Linked DNA regions of Sus scrofa. The protein of the gene in region 2 interacts with the protein of the main gene of each other region in a pairwise test. Links are inferred from orthologs where the notes say so. Each region holds a gene or a part of one and is shown on either strand. Other genes may lie near its edges.

Region 1 (5,015 bases), on a different chromosome or scaffold from region 2:
AATTTATTTTCCAGATATAACAATTTATTATAACATACTGATTGGGATTGCTCCCTGCCACCTCCCAAATTCACATATCTAGGATAATTTCTTCCCACAATTAAAACCTTTTTTAAAAAAATGTTTTGGGGTTTTCAGGGGAAAAAAAGGCAACACTGAATACTAAATATTCAACAGGTATTATATAATAGGCACTTGGGATATGCCCAGGAACAATACAAACAAATGAAAGAAGACAAAGAAGTAATTTTTAAAATGTTTATACCTTTCAGATATTTTTAACTTCTCTGAATAGAATAATCCAAAGCAAAATGATATAGTGAGGGGTTTTATTTTAGATGAGATGCAGAAGTATTCTTCCGGGTCTTTCTTTAGATTTGGAGATGGCAGGGCAAAACTCCTAAAAAGTATTTTCCTCATATTTGAGAAATCAGCTAAAGCAATTTTGTACATTTTTTTAAACAGAATTTCCATTTAACTTTTACATTCTCACAAGTAAAATCTGAAGTATCTTGCTACAGTGGTGCTTAACACTAGAAAGTTCTATTTCTTTCATCTCAGAGCCATCCGATCTCACCTACTTTACCCACAAATATTATTTGATTTCTGAACATCTAATCCATTTGCAAATCCACAAATTTAATACTATCTTTTTTGGGGGGTACCTGAGTACATTTCTGTATTCCTGCAGCTCCATTGAGAGGTCCACGCTTTAATGATTAATTTCTTCCTGACAATGTATTTCTTTCCTCATACATCCTAACGTGACAATATATGAAAGAATATATGATAATATTTAAATAAAAAAACTGGGGAAAGATTAGAAACAGAAGTCAACAGAAATATGACTATTTGCAAAGGGGAGAAGATAACTAATTGAAACAAAAAAATGAAAGAATTAATTCATACACTACATGTTTCCTCTACGTAAGCATTATACTAAATATCTTTTATATTAGTCATGTTGCTTTGAGACTTTTCCATGTTTCCTCTAGACAACTGCCAATGTTCAAATGGTCTCTGATGAATAAACATGCTGTGACTTGCTTCTAAGGAAACGCATGTCATGTTCCAGGGGAAAATGATTTCTCTACTCCTAAATGAGGAAAACTATACAACTCTCATTCATTAGTTACACAGTCGATTCTTCCTTAGCGTGTCTGTTCATATTCTCTTGGATGCTTTTCTGTGTTCAGAATAACTATCAGAAAAGAAATTGAGCTGGGGGGAGACACTTGAAGGAAAAAGTTACACTTCTACAAAAGGGCTTCCCACTTCACAAGCTCAACTAGCGCCTGTGTTAAACTTTCACTGTTTACCAAGACGAAGGTTATTTTCCGGTGCTCCCCATCTCTTGCAGAACTACCTGTTCTCGTTACTGTTTACCCAAAGACAGAGCAAGGTGATTATTAGCATATCTGGCAAGAAGACGTGCTCCATTTAATATTAACTCACCATGTGACAGCCCCTTCCCCTCCAACCTCTCTTAAACGTGTACGAATACAAAGAAAAGTATCGTGTTTGCAGTCTGACTCTGCGCTAGGCTTTGGCACCAGCAATTGGCTAGAGGCACACACACCCCCAATCCGAGGCGCGCAACCTGCCCGTCCCGGAACTGTCATGCGGACTGACAGCTGGCACACCTTCCTGTCGCCCTCCACCCGGTCGCCGAAGGCCCCTTTCCTACAGTCACCTTGACAGTGCTCACCTGCTGGGCCTCAGCCCTTGGCCAAGAAAACTTTTTTCCCCTTCCCAGGAGTTCACTTACAGGTATCCTCCGCCTCTCTCCCACAGCCCCAACAATGGGCCCTTTGTTACCATTTTGCTCCCGGACTTCTTACCCAATGCCTGGCATTCAGCTGCCCTTCAGCTACTCAGAGAAGCCCCGGTAGGAAAGCAATCAAAAACTACCCGAGCCCCGTCCCCGGGCGGCCTCCGAGGAAGCCTGGAGGAAGCCGCCTCGTTGGCCGCGTGTCCTACTGCGGGTGAATCAGGCCGCCGACTGGGTGGCGAGCTGCTAGCCAGGTAACTGGTTGGAGCCCGGGCAAACCTCGTCCTCTCCCTCCCGGGTCGGCCCTTGGAGACTCACCCTGCTGGGGCAGCCGGCTGAGGCGCCGCCAGGGCGTCCTGCGCGCTCGGAACTCCGCCGTCCATCGCCCTGCTGGGTGCTGCGCGGGCTCTGGCTCCGAGGCGGCGCGTCACTGCTGTAGTGGGAGAGGCCGGCGGGTCAGGGCGGGACGCACGCCTTCCCGAGGCCTGAGCAGGGTTGGCGGCGCGTCAAGAGCCCGCCCGAGTCGCCCGAGCCCTGGGTTAGACCGCCCGCCTCCCGGGTGCGCTTCCACCTGCGGGCCGGGCTCCCAGCCTGTGGGCGCGCCGCTGGGTCTAGCGGCCGGAGGGAGGCGGCGCAGTAGCCCCCGCCCCTGGGGTTACTGGGTAGCCATTCGGCGCCTCTCGGGGAGGGAGCGGAGCTGCCCGGGCTGGAAGGAGGAGGAACGGGACGAGGGGCGAGGCGCACAGGCACCGCCGTCGCCACGCCGGCAGTGCGATTCCGGGCCCCCTCGGCCAAGTTTGCACAAACAAAACGCCCTGGGGAAGCTTTTCACGAAGAAAAAGCTGGGAGGGCTCATTTCTCTTTTCCCACCCAGGGCTCCTACTTTCTTTTCAAAAGGAGACAGTAGCTCCCTGTTCTCTCCCACGGCTTCCTCTCCCACATGTCCCTCCTCTAGACCCGGCGCTCGCTTTCGGCTCTCCAGCCAGGGCTTGAGGAGAGAGCGGCTGCCTCTCCGAGGCTCAGTCCAGCGCGGACCGGACCGCAGCTTCGCATCCCCTACCTCACCGGCGGGTGCCGGCGCCGCCTGGCCTCTCCCCGGGCCGGCTCACTCACCCTGCCCCATTTCCCTGACCAGAGCCCGGGAGCCAGCAGCCGCCTCCGCCAGTCGGCCACTCAGAAGTGGCGACGGGGCTCGGCGGCATCGGAGTGAAACGAGCAGCGAGCCGGAGAGAGAAAAGTGTGGGGGGTGGGCGAGGACCGAGTGGTAATTTCCTTCCCCTGGGGCTTAAGGGCTTTGGGGTCCAGTTGGGGAAGCCGAACGGAAAGGAGGCTCCTGCGCAGTGTGTTCTCATTCCCACCGCTAGGGTGTCGCTTTGGGAAGCTTGGCCCGCCTGGGCCGGACAGGTGGGGAGGAAGGGAGGGTACCTGCCCCGCAAGGAGCCGAGGGGAGGATCCAGGAGCCGTGGAAGTGCCGGGAGAAACTCGAAGAACCGGGCCGGCAGCTTGCCCTCCCTTCCAGTCTCACCTTCCCCCATCCAGGGTGGGTTTTTTTTGCTTTGTTTTGTTTTTTTCCAACCTGACTTCTAAAGTTGCTCTTCTGTTAAAAGCATACCCGTGACACTGTGATTTTTCTACGCGGTGGCATGTTTAAGCTTGCCTTGTCTTCAGAGGCATATTTCTTTCTTTCTTTCTTTCTTTCTTTCTTTCTTTCTTTCTTTCTTTCTTTCTTTTTTTTATTTTTAAGCCTATAATAACTGTGACGTGAGGCCTGGACGTATATCTGGTGACAATCTATGAACTAAGATTCAAATGATAGGTTTTATTCACCTCGAAAGTTTTACAGGAAGAAATCAGACACAATTGTGTAACTGCACGTTTTCCCACGTGCAAGGCCTTTAGATGATCCTTTACACCTGACAAACAGGTATATTTGCATATCTTGTGTGCCAGTTGTTGTAAGGTGCAAGCCATTTTTGATTGGTCCAAAAGCTTACATTCAGGAATACAACTTGAAATTAGAAATTAACTTTACACTTTAAAACGGAAATACTTCAATAAACCAGTAGAGAGATTAGACGAAAGACCATCTTTTAGGAGGCTTCTGCTGCGCTGTTAAAAACAACCCATCTGTATTAACCACTTCACCCTATTGATAGAATAAAGTTTGGTAGGTGGGTTAAACTGATACTTAGAACCAACATTTGACTAAACCAAAGTTTGACTAAGGCTCTTTAAGTTATATCCACTGTGGCAACCCAGAGGATTGCTGAAACTAACATACTAAATACCCAATGTGCCTTTTGTCTCTTATGGACCGTAATTACTATTTATTCCTTCCTATGCATAATATATTCCTTTCATTGTATTTCTACATATGAAAAGGGGAAAAAGTAGCTTATTTGGATTACAATATTGGAGTCATATCAGAAAAAGTTGCTGTTTAATATTTTACTTAATATATTAGTCAATTCAGTTAAATCCATCTGGATTTTAGTCTTCAAACAATTTCATGAACCAGTTATACCTCTAAATGACTAGCTTTTACAGTTGCTCACACAGACAATAATGTAAACATTGAGTAATAGTGAAACCTAAAGTCTATAAATTTCAGTCACCAAATGAAGATTAAACTTTAGTTTCAACCTTAATTTATGACATGCTAGTAATTTTATTGACTCCATTAGTCTAATCTGAAACATAAAATGTTACCATAACATTTCATAATTGCTGGAGGCTTTTTGAATGCTTACCAATTTTTCCTATCCTCCTCCTGGTTTTAGGTGTGGAAGAGGATTACACTCTCCACCCCACTGAAATTAGGTATGGTGATGTAACTGGTTTTGATAAGTAAATGTAAGCAGACACGAAATATTTCATTTCCTGGTAGAATTCCTTAAGGGCCAGTGCCTGACTTTCCATGCTCTCTTCCCTTGCTGCTGCAATCACAAAGATTTACATTAAGCTGGAGGTGTCATAGGACTGAAAGATCCTGGGATGCTGTACTATTACACTGGGCATAGCTGCCCTGGAGAGCCCCAGGATCTACAACAGAATTAGCATAAAGCAAGAAATAAACTTGTGTTGGGTTAAGCTACTAAAATACTGGAGTGGTTTGTTGTCCAGCATTTCTTAGCCTGCCTTAGTTTTGTTTTTGTTTTTGTTTTTCTTTTCTTTTCTTTTTTAGGGCCACACCTGTGGCATGTGGAAGTTCCCAGGCTAGGGGTCACATTGGAGTTGTAGCTGC
Region 2 (5,254 bases):
CACAGACCCTGCCCCAAAGGATTCCACAGCTGGAGTCGGGTTGGTGGGTGGGGAGCAATTATTAAAAGCCAGAGAGGATATGGTGTGAGGTGAGGTGAGCCAGGTATGGCAAGGAGGAATTTGTAGATGCTTCTGGAAGGAAGCAGGGTCTCAGCAGACCCCTGAGGGTGAGAAGGAATGGGGAGCGGGGGAGGGAGTGTGTTCGAGGCAGGGGAACAGCTAGGTGAGAGAAGTGTGATTTATTTGAGGAACTGAAAGCAGTTCAGGGCCACTGGGGGCAGAGGGAGGATGAGAAGGGAGAGGAAGCCCAGGCTTGGGGAGGGCAGCAGGGCCACATTTGGGAGGCTGCACTTTGCCTGCCCTCAGGGCAATGGGGAGCCACTAAAGGATGCAGAGCAGAGGCGGGGCAGACTCAGATGTGCGCCTTATAAAGACCACTCTGCCTGCCACACAGTAGGTCCTCAAGGAGCCTCGCTGAAATGGCTGTTGTTATTCTGTGCATCCACAACCATCAGAGGCACACTTATTAATCACGCACACACGACCCACGTGCATGGACTTTAGCCATGGAGCCCCCTCTGTCCCCACAGAGACACGCCCCCAGCAGCAAGGTCCACAGCCCTCTGCATTAGGGAATAGGGACTCTGGGGCCTAGGTTCAAATCCTAGCTCCTCCAGTTGCAAACTGTGTGACCTTGGACAGACAACCTCGCAGTGCCTCAGTCTCTTCATTTGTAAAATGGGGGTAATAACAGCACCGTCCTTGCTGGGCTGCGGTGAAGACTGAATGGGTCAATATGTGAAAAGGGAGTTCCCTTCGTGGCTCAAAGGTTAACTAACCCAACTAGGATCCATGAGGATGCTGGTTTGATCCCTGGCCTCTTTCAGTGGGTTAAGGATCCGGGGTTGTGGTGAGCTGTGATGTAGGTCGCAGATGCAGCTTGGATCCTGTGTTGCTGTGGCTGTGGCGCGTGGCTGTGGCTGTGGTATAGGCTGGCAGCTGCAGCTCCAATCTGACCCCTAACCTGGGAACTTCCGTGTGCTGCGAGTGCAGCCCTAAAAAGCCAAAACAAAACAAAAAAGCAGTCGGAGGACCTAGCCCGTGGCAGATGCTGTGCCCTGTTAGTTTTTCCTGTTTTTACTGCCTCCCTCCCTGCAAGGCCCCCTGGGCCAGCCCCTTGCAGGCACTAAGTAAGCCATCCTCCACTTCCTCCTCCGCAAGCATCGCTCCCGCACTCTCTCCATCACTAGGAACCTTTAAGTCTTGCCCCAGCTCCTTCAAGCCCAGCAGAGAGAGCACAGGACTTGGGGCCAGGAACTGAGGGCCGGCCCTGGCGCTGCAGGCGGCCGTGTCTGGGCCTCCGTCTCCCCTCCATGAGATGAGGACAGAGCCCCTTGCAGTCTTATCAGCATGGCTGTCAAAGGACAACAAGGCCTGGGACGGCTCTGGGAACGTCCATGTCACAGACATAGCCTTGTGGCCAGGCCAGATCCCTTGCTGGCCGCCTCCTCTTCTGCACACAATCCCAAGATCTGTTCAGAACTCACCATGAGGACCTCAGAGGCTGAGGGTGGCCTGGCTTGGGCAGTCTCTGACTCGCTGGGGGTGACAGCACTCTCCCCAGGGCTGGGCCAAAGGTAGAGACCCCCAGTGTGAGTTGGCACCCTTGGAGGAAAGGGCCAACCCCGGGGACTGAGCAGAGCCAGATCTTCCCCAGGGCCTTCCACCAAGCCTGGGGCAGCCAGGGATTGGAACCAGGAGGCCCCCAGACTCTCCAGGGCCATTGGGACTACAGGGATGCCTCTAAACGCCACAGCTGCCCATCACTTCCAGGACCAGGAAGGGCCTAAAGGGGCCTGTCTGCTTTAGGTAGCACTTTGGTCCTGGTGGGTGGGAGGAACGTTCAGGAGGGGGCTCACCCTCCTCCCTCAGGTTGCCTGCTATTTCCTGGAGTTCAAATTGACTCATTCACTTGTTCCACAAACATTTACTCGGTGCCAGACCCTGGTCTGGGGTGCAGGGACGATGACAGATGAATCAGACAGATTCCCACCCTAAAGCACTTCCAGTCTAGTGGGCAACAAGGCACAAATAACCAGGCCACAGGGCAGGCTAGGTAGGAGGACCCAGGGCAGGAGGCAAGGATCTCTCTCACCTGGGGAATCAGGAAGCAGCCTGGAGGGGGTGGCTTCTGCATGGCTTATGGACATGTGATAGGAAAGCCAGGTGGTGAGGGATAGAACCTCCAAAATCAGGGACGGCCCTGTTTGCACCCCCGCTATGCCCAAGCCAGGGCAGTGTGAGTTATTTACGGTGGCGCCCAGAGAAAAGCGGCCACATGTGTCCCTGCACGTGGGGTGCAGAGCTGGATGGTGGAGGGTGGGGGCAGCTGGGGCTTGAAGCTAGGTCTAGCCAAGCTCTGTGGTTTGCCACTCTGTCCCTCCCATCCTGACGACCTTTTAATCTTTTCGGGGCCTCCTGTAAGGCAAAAATAAGGAGGAGAGAGTTCTAACAGGCAGCAAGTGGCCTGGCGGGGGGCGGGTGGGGGGGGCAGTGCCAGACAGACCGTGGCTTCTGCTGTATTTGCAGGCCTTTTATCAGTCACCTCCTTTTCCTCTCCCCGCCCCATCCCAGCAATGGGGGAAGGGGTAGAGAAACAGAAAAAAATTAAAAAAAAAAATATACATATAGCTTTAATTGTAAACCAGACAGGGCGCACATCAGCTGCTGTGTTTCTCCCCAGCCCACTCTGGTCCAGAAATAGCCTACGCACCAGGCTGGCACCAGCCCACCTACCCTTCCCGTACAGGAACAAGCCAGGCCAGAGACAGACCCCCACCCCCTCTCCCCACTTCAGGCGTGGGTCCCACCTCCCCAAGGAACCTATTTCCTGCGTTTTCCCCAGGGAAAACGCCAGCTCCCTCTCGCAGAGGGCCCAGCGCAGGGACATCCTGACACTGCCTGGGTGATGCCCGTGAAGCCGGCGCTTGAAAGCACCCCCCGGCCCAGGCGCTCACCTCTCCCCAGGTAACTGGTCGACGCTCCCTCGCGCTCTGGCGGGGAGAGATGCGCGTCTGTGCGCCCACCGCAAACACGCACTCGCGAAGGAGAGCCCTCCCTCCCCACCTCCTACCCAAGGGCCAGACCCCCTACCTGGGGGCAGGCGCGCCCCGCACCATCCGCGGCGCCCCGGGGCAAAGCGGGGTGTCGGGCCCGGCCTCAAGCCCGGACCTCTTCCCGGGGGAGAGAGGCTGCGCCGCCGCGTCCCTCCAGATCTCGCTGGGGCTGCGGGAAGGAGGAAGGTCAGAGCCAGGGAGGAGGGGGAGGCTGGCGGGAGGCGTGCACAGATGGGCGCAGATTAGAGAGGCATTTTTAGCGAACCAATGGCAGCGCGGCGCAGGGCGGCGCCGTGTCTGCGCAGGTGGAAGCGCCCCGGCTGCTGAGGCTGCAGCCGCCGGCTTAGGAGGTGCAGGGGGAGGGGGGTCTGGGGGCGGGTGTCCGCACCCCCCGCTCCGAGGCCCGCGCCCTCCTCCGAGGGGCTGCGCGGCGGGCGGGTGCCGAGAGCGCTGCCCCTGCACCCTCTTCCGCAGCCCTCCTGCGGGAGCGCTCGGGACGCGGAGGTGTCGCTCCTCTCCCCCCTCTCTGCCCTTTCTCCACCTCTTAGGACATCCCTGCCGCCCTGTCTGTCTGCTTCTGACCTCTCATAATCTTGCGTCTTCGGCTCACACATACCCCAAACATACCCCCCAGGCACGGTGCGCAGGGGTGACGGCCCCTCCTCCACCCCACCCCCACCCCAATCCCTCGACTCCGCAGCAGCTTCGCCCAGAAGGGCCCCCTCGACCCCACGGGGCAGTCACTCACCCTCCCGCCCTGGTTCCAGGTGAACCTACTGTCACCACGACAGAGTCCGGACCGTCTCCTGGGGCTCTCTGGGGGGCTCCTTGTGACCCCCCCCCAATGCCGTCACTCTGGCTGCCTTGAACCCTGAATGCTTCCGGGAGCCTGGACACTGCGGACGTGCAAGGGGGCTCTCTTGGATTTATAAGAATGTATTCAATACTTATCTATTGAGAGCCTACTATGTGCTGGGCACTGATGAGGGGCCAGGCTGCAGAGCATATGATACAGACCAAATCTCTGCCCTCGGGTAGTTCGTATTTGTGAGAGAAGACAGATGTTAAATATAACAAACAGTCTATAGAATATGCTTATTTTTAGGACCGCTCTTTGAGCATATGGAAGTTCCCAGGCTAGGAGTCCAGTCGGAGCTGCAGCTGCCACCCTATGCCACAGGCACAGCAACAGGGGATCCGGGCCACATCTGCGACCTACACCATAGCTCAGGGCAACACCAGATTCTAGCTTTCTTCTGTATTTTCTGATTGCAAAACTTAGGTTCATCAAAGCTGAACCACTCCTTTCCCCATCTCCCTCTCCCTCCATTAGTGTTTTGTGCCCAGATCCAGAAACTAAGACTTTCTCCCATTCTCCCAGTTCTTTTCACTTTTCTTCTTTTTAAAAAAAAAAAAAAATATTTTATTATTATTTTTTTCTTTTTAGCACCTGCAGCATATGGAAATTCCCAGGCTAGGGGTTGAATCAGAGCTCCCGCTACTGGCCTACACCACAGCCACAGCAACGCCAGATCCCAGGCATGTCTGCAACCTGTGCCAGATCCTTAACCCATTGAGTGCAGCCATGGATTGAACCTGCATCCTCATGGATATTAGTCAGGTTCTTAACCCTCTGAGCCACAACAGGAACTCCTCTTTTCACTTTTCAAAGTATTTTTCCTGGAAGTTCCCCTGTGCCACGAGGGTTTGACTCCTGGCCCTGGAACTTCCATATGCCACACATGCAACAACAACAACAAAACAAAAACAACAGACAAACAAACCCCAGCAAAGTACTTTTCTGATCTCATATCTCCCCAATAACTTACTTTTCTCAGTCCCATTAAGTTCTGACCCACCTGGGATTCCATGGGACCTTCACATCCCACCTAGAGCCCCAAGCTAGCCCTCGGTCAGAAGCCTCCTCTGCTAGACTCTCTGTGCCATTCAGAGCAAGGAGGCAGGCGTGGCTCTCTCCAGAGGAGCTTCTTTGTGTGTGTGTGTGTGTGTGTGTTTGCTTTTTTTTTTTTTGCTTTGCTTTTTTAGGGCCCCACCTGTGACATATGGAGGTTCCCAGTCTAGGGGTCCAATCAGAGCTGCAGCTGTTGGCCTATGCCACGGGCATGGTGGCATCAGAT
Region 3 (4,972 bases), on a different chromosome or scaffold from region 2:
AGCACCCTACAAGCAATGGGCAATAGTTTGAAAAAAGAAAGGGAAGCTAAAATATGAAAAGAAAATAAGCAAGCTGGATCCTGGAAACAAAGGTCATTTATAATCTTACTAAGGATAGAGAGTAGGGAGTATGGACAAAGTAGCTTGAAAGGTGTTAGGATCTAGGGCAGTATTCTTGGAAGGACTGGAAGGAGGGCAGTGATGGGGAGAACTTGAGCTCATCTGAAGACATGGGGCGGCAAGAAAAGGAGAGATACCGAATAATCAGGAGAGATGGGAAGATATAGAAGGCTTGAATCTAGTATCTAATTCTATTTCCATTTGCAATAAAGTGATCTAATAATACCACAAGAACACAATGTACATTTTACAGAAATGGGCATAGATATCACTTATTTTACTATAGTCTTAATTTTTAAATATTAAAATAACCATAATATATTGATTCTTATTTTGTGGAATCAAAGAGTTCTCTGGTGCCCTTCCTGAGTAGTTTACTAAGTCACTACAACCTATAGCTATTATGATCTCATATAGTGATATATTCTGCATCATTAAAAGATTTTAAGTGTATGAGGGTTTCTTTAGTGGCTAATTTATAGAAATGGTCATAACTATTTTAATCTAATTTGCCATTCAGGAACAACCCACATGATAATTAGGAGGACTTTGCATCCTTTCTAGTATTATTGTTCTTCAGAAGTTCTCAAACTTTCTCATGTGGTTATCTTGTTTGGGGTGTGTGTGTGTGTGTGTGTGCTGCCACACCTGTGACATGTGGAAGTTCCCCGCCAGGGATAGAACCTGCACCACAGGAGCAACCCAGATGACTGCTGCAGTGAAAACACTGGATACTTAACCCTTTGCACCACAGGAGAACATCTATCCTGGTTTCTTTTAATACTCTTTCCCTTCCTTGAAAAAAAGAAGTGTATAGGTTTACAGGGAAGCTTTCTCAAGTTGTGAAAAATTTCAAGAGACTGGCAAAGAGTTTCTTATAAGACAGTTATTCATTTTAGGGGATTTTTCTTGGATGTAAATGCTTCTTGTTCATCCTAGCTGCAAAGGTAGCTAAGAAGAAATCAAGTTTAGAAACGAAGGAATTAAAAGCAGACCTTGACATTGTCCTGTTGCTGAGCTCAAGTTCACAGGCTCCTAGATGTCCAATATAGAGCAGCCGCTTCTTCCCTCATAACTTTTTTTTAAAATAAACTGTCTGCTAAATAAATTTATTGGAGAACCTTAAATACAGAATAGTTCAAGATTTTTTGGTCCACTTAGCTGATACTGAACACCAACTGAGCATTGGTCGTATTAAATGCTATTAATTGTGCGTAAAAGATAACAGTCCCCGGAGTTCCCGTCGTGGCGCAATGGTTAACGAATCCGACTAGGAACCATGAGGTTGCGGGTTCGGTCCCTGCCCTTGCTCAGTGGGTTAACGATCCGGCGTTGCCGTGAGCTGTGGTGTAGGTTGCAGACGCGGCTCGGATCCCGCGTTGCTGTGGCTCTGGCGTAGGCCGGTGGCTACAGCTCCAATTCGACCCCTAGCCTGGGAACCTCCATATGCCGCGGGAGCGGCCCAAGAAATAGCAACAACAACAACAGACAAAAAGACAAAAGACAAAAAAAAAAAAAAAAAAAGATAACAGTCCCCGTTCTCAGAGAGTTTTTAGAAACAGATGTTCAGCATACATGAAAGAAACTAACAGATTTCTTAACCTCTCTGAGTCCCAGCTTCATATTCTGTCAAACGAATAATCATGCTTACTTTTCTGGGATGTTGAGAAGATGGAAGATACATATGTAAAGTAGTATGTGAAGTGCCTGACACATAGTAAACAGTTAATAAATGGTTATTAATAATGTACACCATTGTGTTTGGTAGGAAATACAATAAAAAGATAACAAATAATAAACGGTCAAAAAATAGAACTTCGACAATACTTGGGCAATATTTAATTGCTACCAAACATCCCTACTTCAAGGAATAATGGATTTCAAAACAAATTGTTTTAACATTGTCTCCCATTAACTCAGTGATTACCAAGAGTGGAACAGCAATAATTTACAAAGGCTAAAAAAATCATTACTAAGAATTCACTTATCTTCAATCCTGCAACCACCTTCCATGCTACATATCCTTAGAGATGGCATTCTAGAAGTTACCTTCTTAAGGTTCCATTCCCCCTAACTACCTGCCTTCTTCCAAGGGGGAATTGCCCACTATGCTTCTGCCCTTTTTTAATCCTCTGTTTACTGCTGTCTTGATTTATCAACCCAGGCTTAATCTGCATGTGAGAGACCTGTGGATGCAAATTACTTTAATTGTCCGGTCCATTTGACCCAGGTGTTGACTACAAAAGATTTTTTACTTAACAGAAGATTCAACACTTAGAGTGATTTCTATTTTGCCTTTAAATATCATCAGGCTTACAGTAAAGATACAATACAAAAAAATAAGTGGAAAATGCCACCCCAAAACTTCAAATCTTCTCTGTTGTGACAGCTTTGAAATGATAGAAATTATTTTCAATAAAGCAGCTTTGCTAGTCACTGTTTCAGAAACACCCCAAATGGAGATTCTACTCTCTGAAAGGCAACCACAGGCTTGAATTATTATCATTCCTAATAATAAAATTCTTGTCCTTGGGTTTTTCAGTTTTTGCAGTAATAATTGTCAGAGGTATTATTGCAGAATTTAACTACTAATAGAATTTATCTGTGCCTTAGTCATAATAATAAGATTTACTTGCAACAATAGTACCAGGTTTTTGTATTGTGTTTTCCAGTTACCATAGCAGCTATACAATACACAACAATATTACTGCAATTTTTAACTGCTAATGAAATTATTTTTTTAAATCCATAGCAAACAAATTTTACTCTGATAATCCCACAGCAATGTTTATATCCTTAAAAAACTTACTGCGGCAGGCTAATACTTTTGAAATATTAATTGAGGTTTTTGTAGTAGTTTTTTCCCAGCTACTTCTTTTTATCCTATGGCTTTTCTTCTCCTATACCCCACCCAAAGATACCCTCAGCATCACACTCACCCTCAGTTAGGCTGCTCTTTGATCATTGTTTCAGGAAAGCGGTAGAACAGAATGCAGAGAAGCAGGGACTTTTCCTTGTTTTTGAGTTTCAAAACCCTAGTCCTTTAGGGAGTAATGAAATGGATCCAGTTAAAGGCTTGTACTGTTCAATCCTAACCTCTAGCCACATGTGACTACTGAACACTTGACATGTGGCTAGTTCAAATTGAGATGTGTTGTAGGTATAAAATATATACCAATTTCAAAGACAGTATGCAAAAATGAAGGAAATATATCTTATTAAAAAGTTGTATATTGATTACCTGTTGAAATAATAATATTTTAGATCTATTAGATCCAGAAAAAGACATTAAAAATTAATTTCAGCCAGTACTTTACTTTTTTATGTGGCTCCTGGAAAATTTTAATTATACATGTGGCTTGCTTTATTTTCCTGTTGGACAGTGCTGGTAGAGACAATGGTAAGACTTCCTTTCACAGAGATGAGAAATGGATTTCCTGGACTGGAAGGGGAAGAAGAAGCTTTGTGAAAAGTAATGAGAGGCTGGGTTCTAGTGAACCCCAGAGAACAGGACTCACTGCCCTCATTCTCACTGGATTCTGGCAGAAGCCTTGGAGAAGGGCAACTGAAATGGCGGAATCTATCTATGGGATCTGAGAGCTGAGAGAGATCATTTTTCCTTGTTAGAGCCCTGGGGAGGTGGCAAGACCATAAAGAGAAGAAAAACCTGGGCCATATGTCTAGTTTAGCCAAGACCTCAGAGCAGCACAATTCAATACAACTTTCTGTGATGAATGAACAAAATGTTCTGTACATAGCTGTCCAACTCAGCGGCCTCTAGCCACTGCGGCTATGGAGCACTTGAAAGGTGGCTAGCATAAATGAGGAAGTGGAGTTTTAACATTCTTTAGTTTTAATTAATTTAAATTTAAATAGCTGCATATGGTAGCTACCAGAATGGACAGTGCAACATTCCATAGTAACGTGGAGGTTCTAGAAGCCCAATATGATGATCCCCAGGCACCTAAAAGGGTACAGAGGCAGCAGAAGGCACCAGGCCTCCAGGGACCCTGCTGGCAGATCAAGATCAACCCAGCAACCATCTGGGGTGCTAGCTGCCAATGAGGAAGCATACAAATTGGAAATCTGAGGGGACTCAGCATGGTAGAGGAGGAGAAAAGATCAAATGTCCCATCCCTTTCCTCTGACAAAGTAATCATACAAAAGTCTTCTCAATTTAGATGCATTTCCTGCCAACATTGACTATGATTAAGTGTCTGCCGCTCTTTGTGAAATTGGAGCTTGTAGAAATCAGGCTGAGTTATGGAAAAATGAAATTATGTTTCTTGCAAGCCTGAATTTTTTTAGATTGAGATCTGTACCTCCTATATAAGTGAAAGTAATAATTCAAAACAAACAAACAAACTTAGAAACCTGTGTTTATTCTCCTAAAAGGCAGCCCTTTTTTTAATCTGTCATTATAGTACCAAGTTCTTTGATTGACATGAAAGCTCAGAAAAGCTGCATCAGAAAACTGTCTTTCAGAGTTCCCTCTGTGCCTCAGTGGTTAACGAATCTGACTAGCATCCATAAGGACGCAGGTTCGATCCCTGGCCTTGCTCAGTGGGTTAAGGACCCTGCGTTGCCGTGAGCTGTGGTGCAGGTTGCAGATGCGGTTTGGATCCCACGTGGCTGTGGCTGTGGCTGACCCCTAGCCGGGGAACCTCCAGGTGACATGGGTGTGGCCCTAAAAAGTGAAAAGAAAAAAAAAAAAAACCTGTCTTTCAACTAAAAGCAGAATATCCTCTTGTGAAATTATTTATGTTCCAGTTACCCATGAATGAATGAATCTTTACTTGTCATAAGGAATTTTTGCACATGGAACCTGAGCTGGCACTAACTGTAGGTCATA

Evidence for each region. The genes of interacting proteins can lie anywhere in the genome.
Region 1: the proteins of PACSIN1 (region 2) and COBLL1 interact in binary tests that used the Homo sapiens proteins (3 or more experiments, as listed by UniProt). The link is inferred for Sus scrofa from reciprocal best matches to the Homo sapiens genes PACSIN1 and COBLL1.
Region 3: the proteins of PACSIN1 (region 2) and EHBP1 interact in a two-hybrid assay, tested with the Homo sapiens proteins (2 studies listed by BioGRID and IntAct). The link is inferred for Sus scrofa from reciprocal best matches to the Homo sapiens genes PACSIN1 and EHBP1.

What each region holds. Positions count from the first base shown.
Region 1 is NC_010457.5:71,495,096-71,500,110, forward strand, and holds the start of COBLL1 (cordon-bleu protein-like 1), read right to left. Parts: upstream 3,191-5,015; 5' UTR 3,124-3,190; coding exon 2,885-3,123; intron 2,819-2,884; exon of another isoform or gene 2,714-2,818; coding exon of another isoform or gene 2,655-2,713; intron 2,383-2,654; exon of another isoform or gene 2,205-2,382; coding exon 2,090-2,204; intron 2,065-2,089; exon of another isoform or gene 698-2,064; coding exon of another isoform or gene 666-697; intron 1-665.
Region 2 is NC_010449.5:30,458,007-30,463,260, reverse strand, and holds the start of PACSIN1 (protein kinase C and casein kinase substrate in neurons protein 1), read right to left. Parts: upstream 3,411-5,254; 5' UTR 3,154-3,410; intron 1-3,153. UniProt on the Homo sapiens protein: Plays a role in the reorganization of the microtubule cytoskeleton via its interaction with MAPT; this decreases microtubule stability and inhibits MAPT-induced microtubule polymerization.
Region 3 is NC_010445.4:79,258,701-79,263,672, forward strand, and holds the start of EHBP1 (EH domain-binding protein 1), read right to left. Parts: upstream 3,191-4,972; 5' UTR 3,060-3,190; intron 1-3,059. UniProt on the Homo sapiens protein: May play a role in actin reorganization. Links clathrin-mediated endocytosis to the actin cytoskeleton. May act as Rab effector protein and play a role in vesicle trafficking.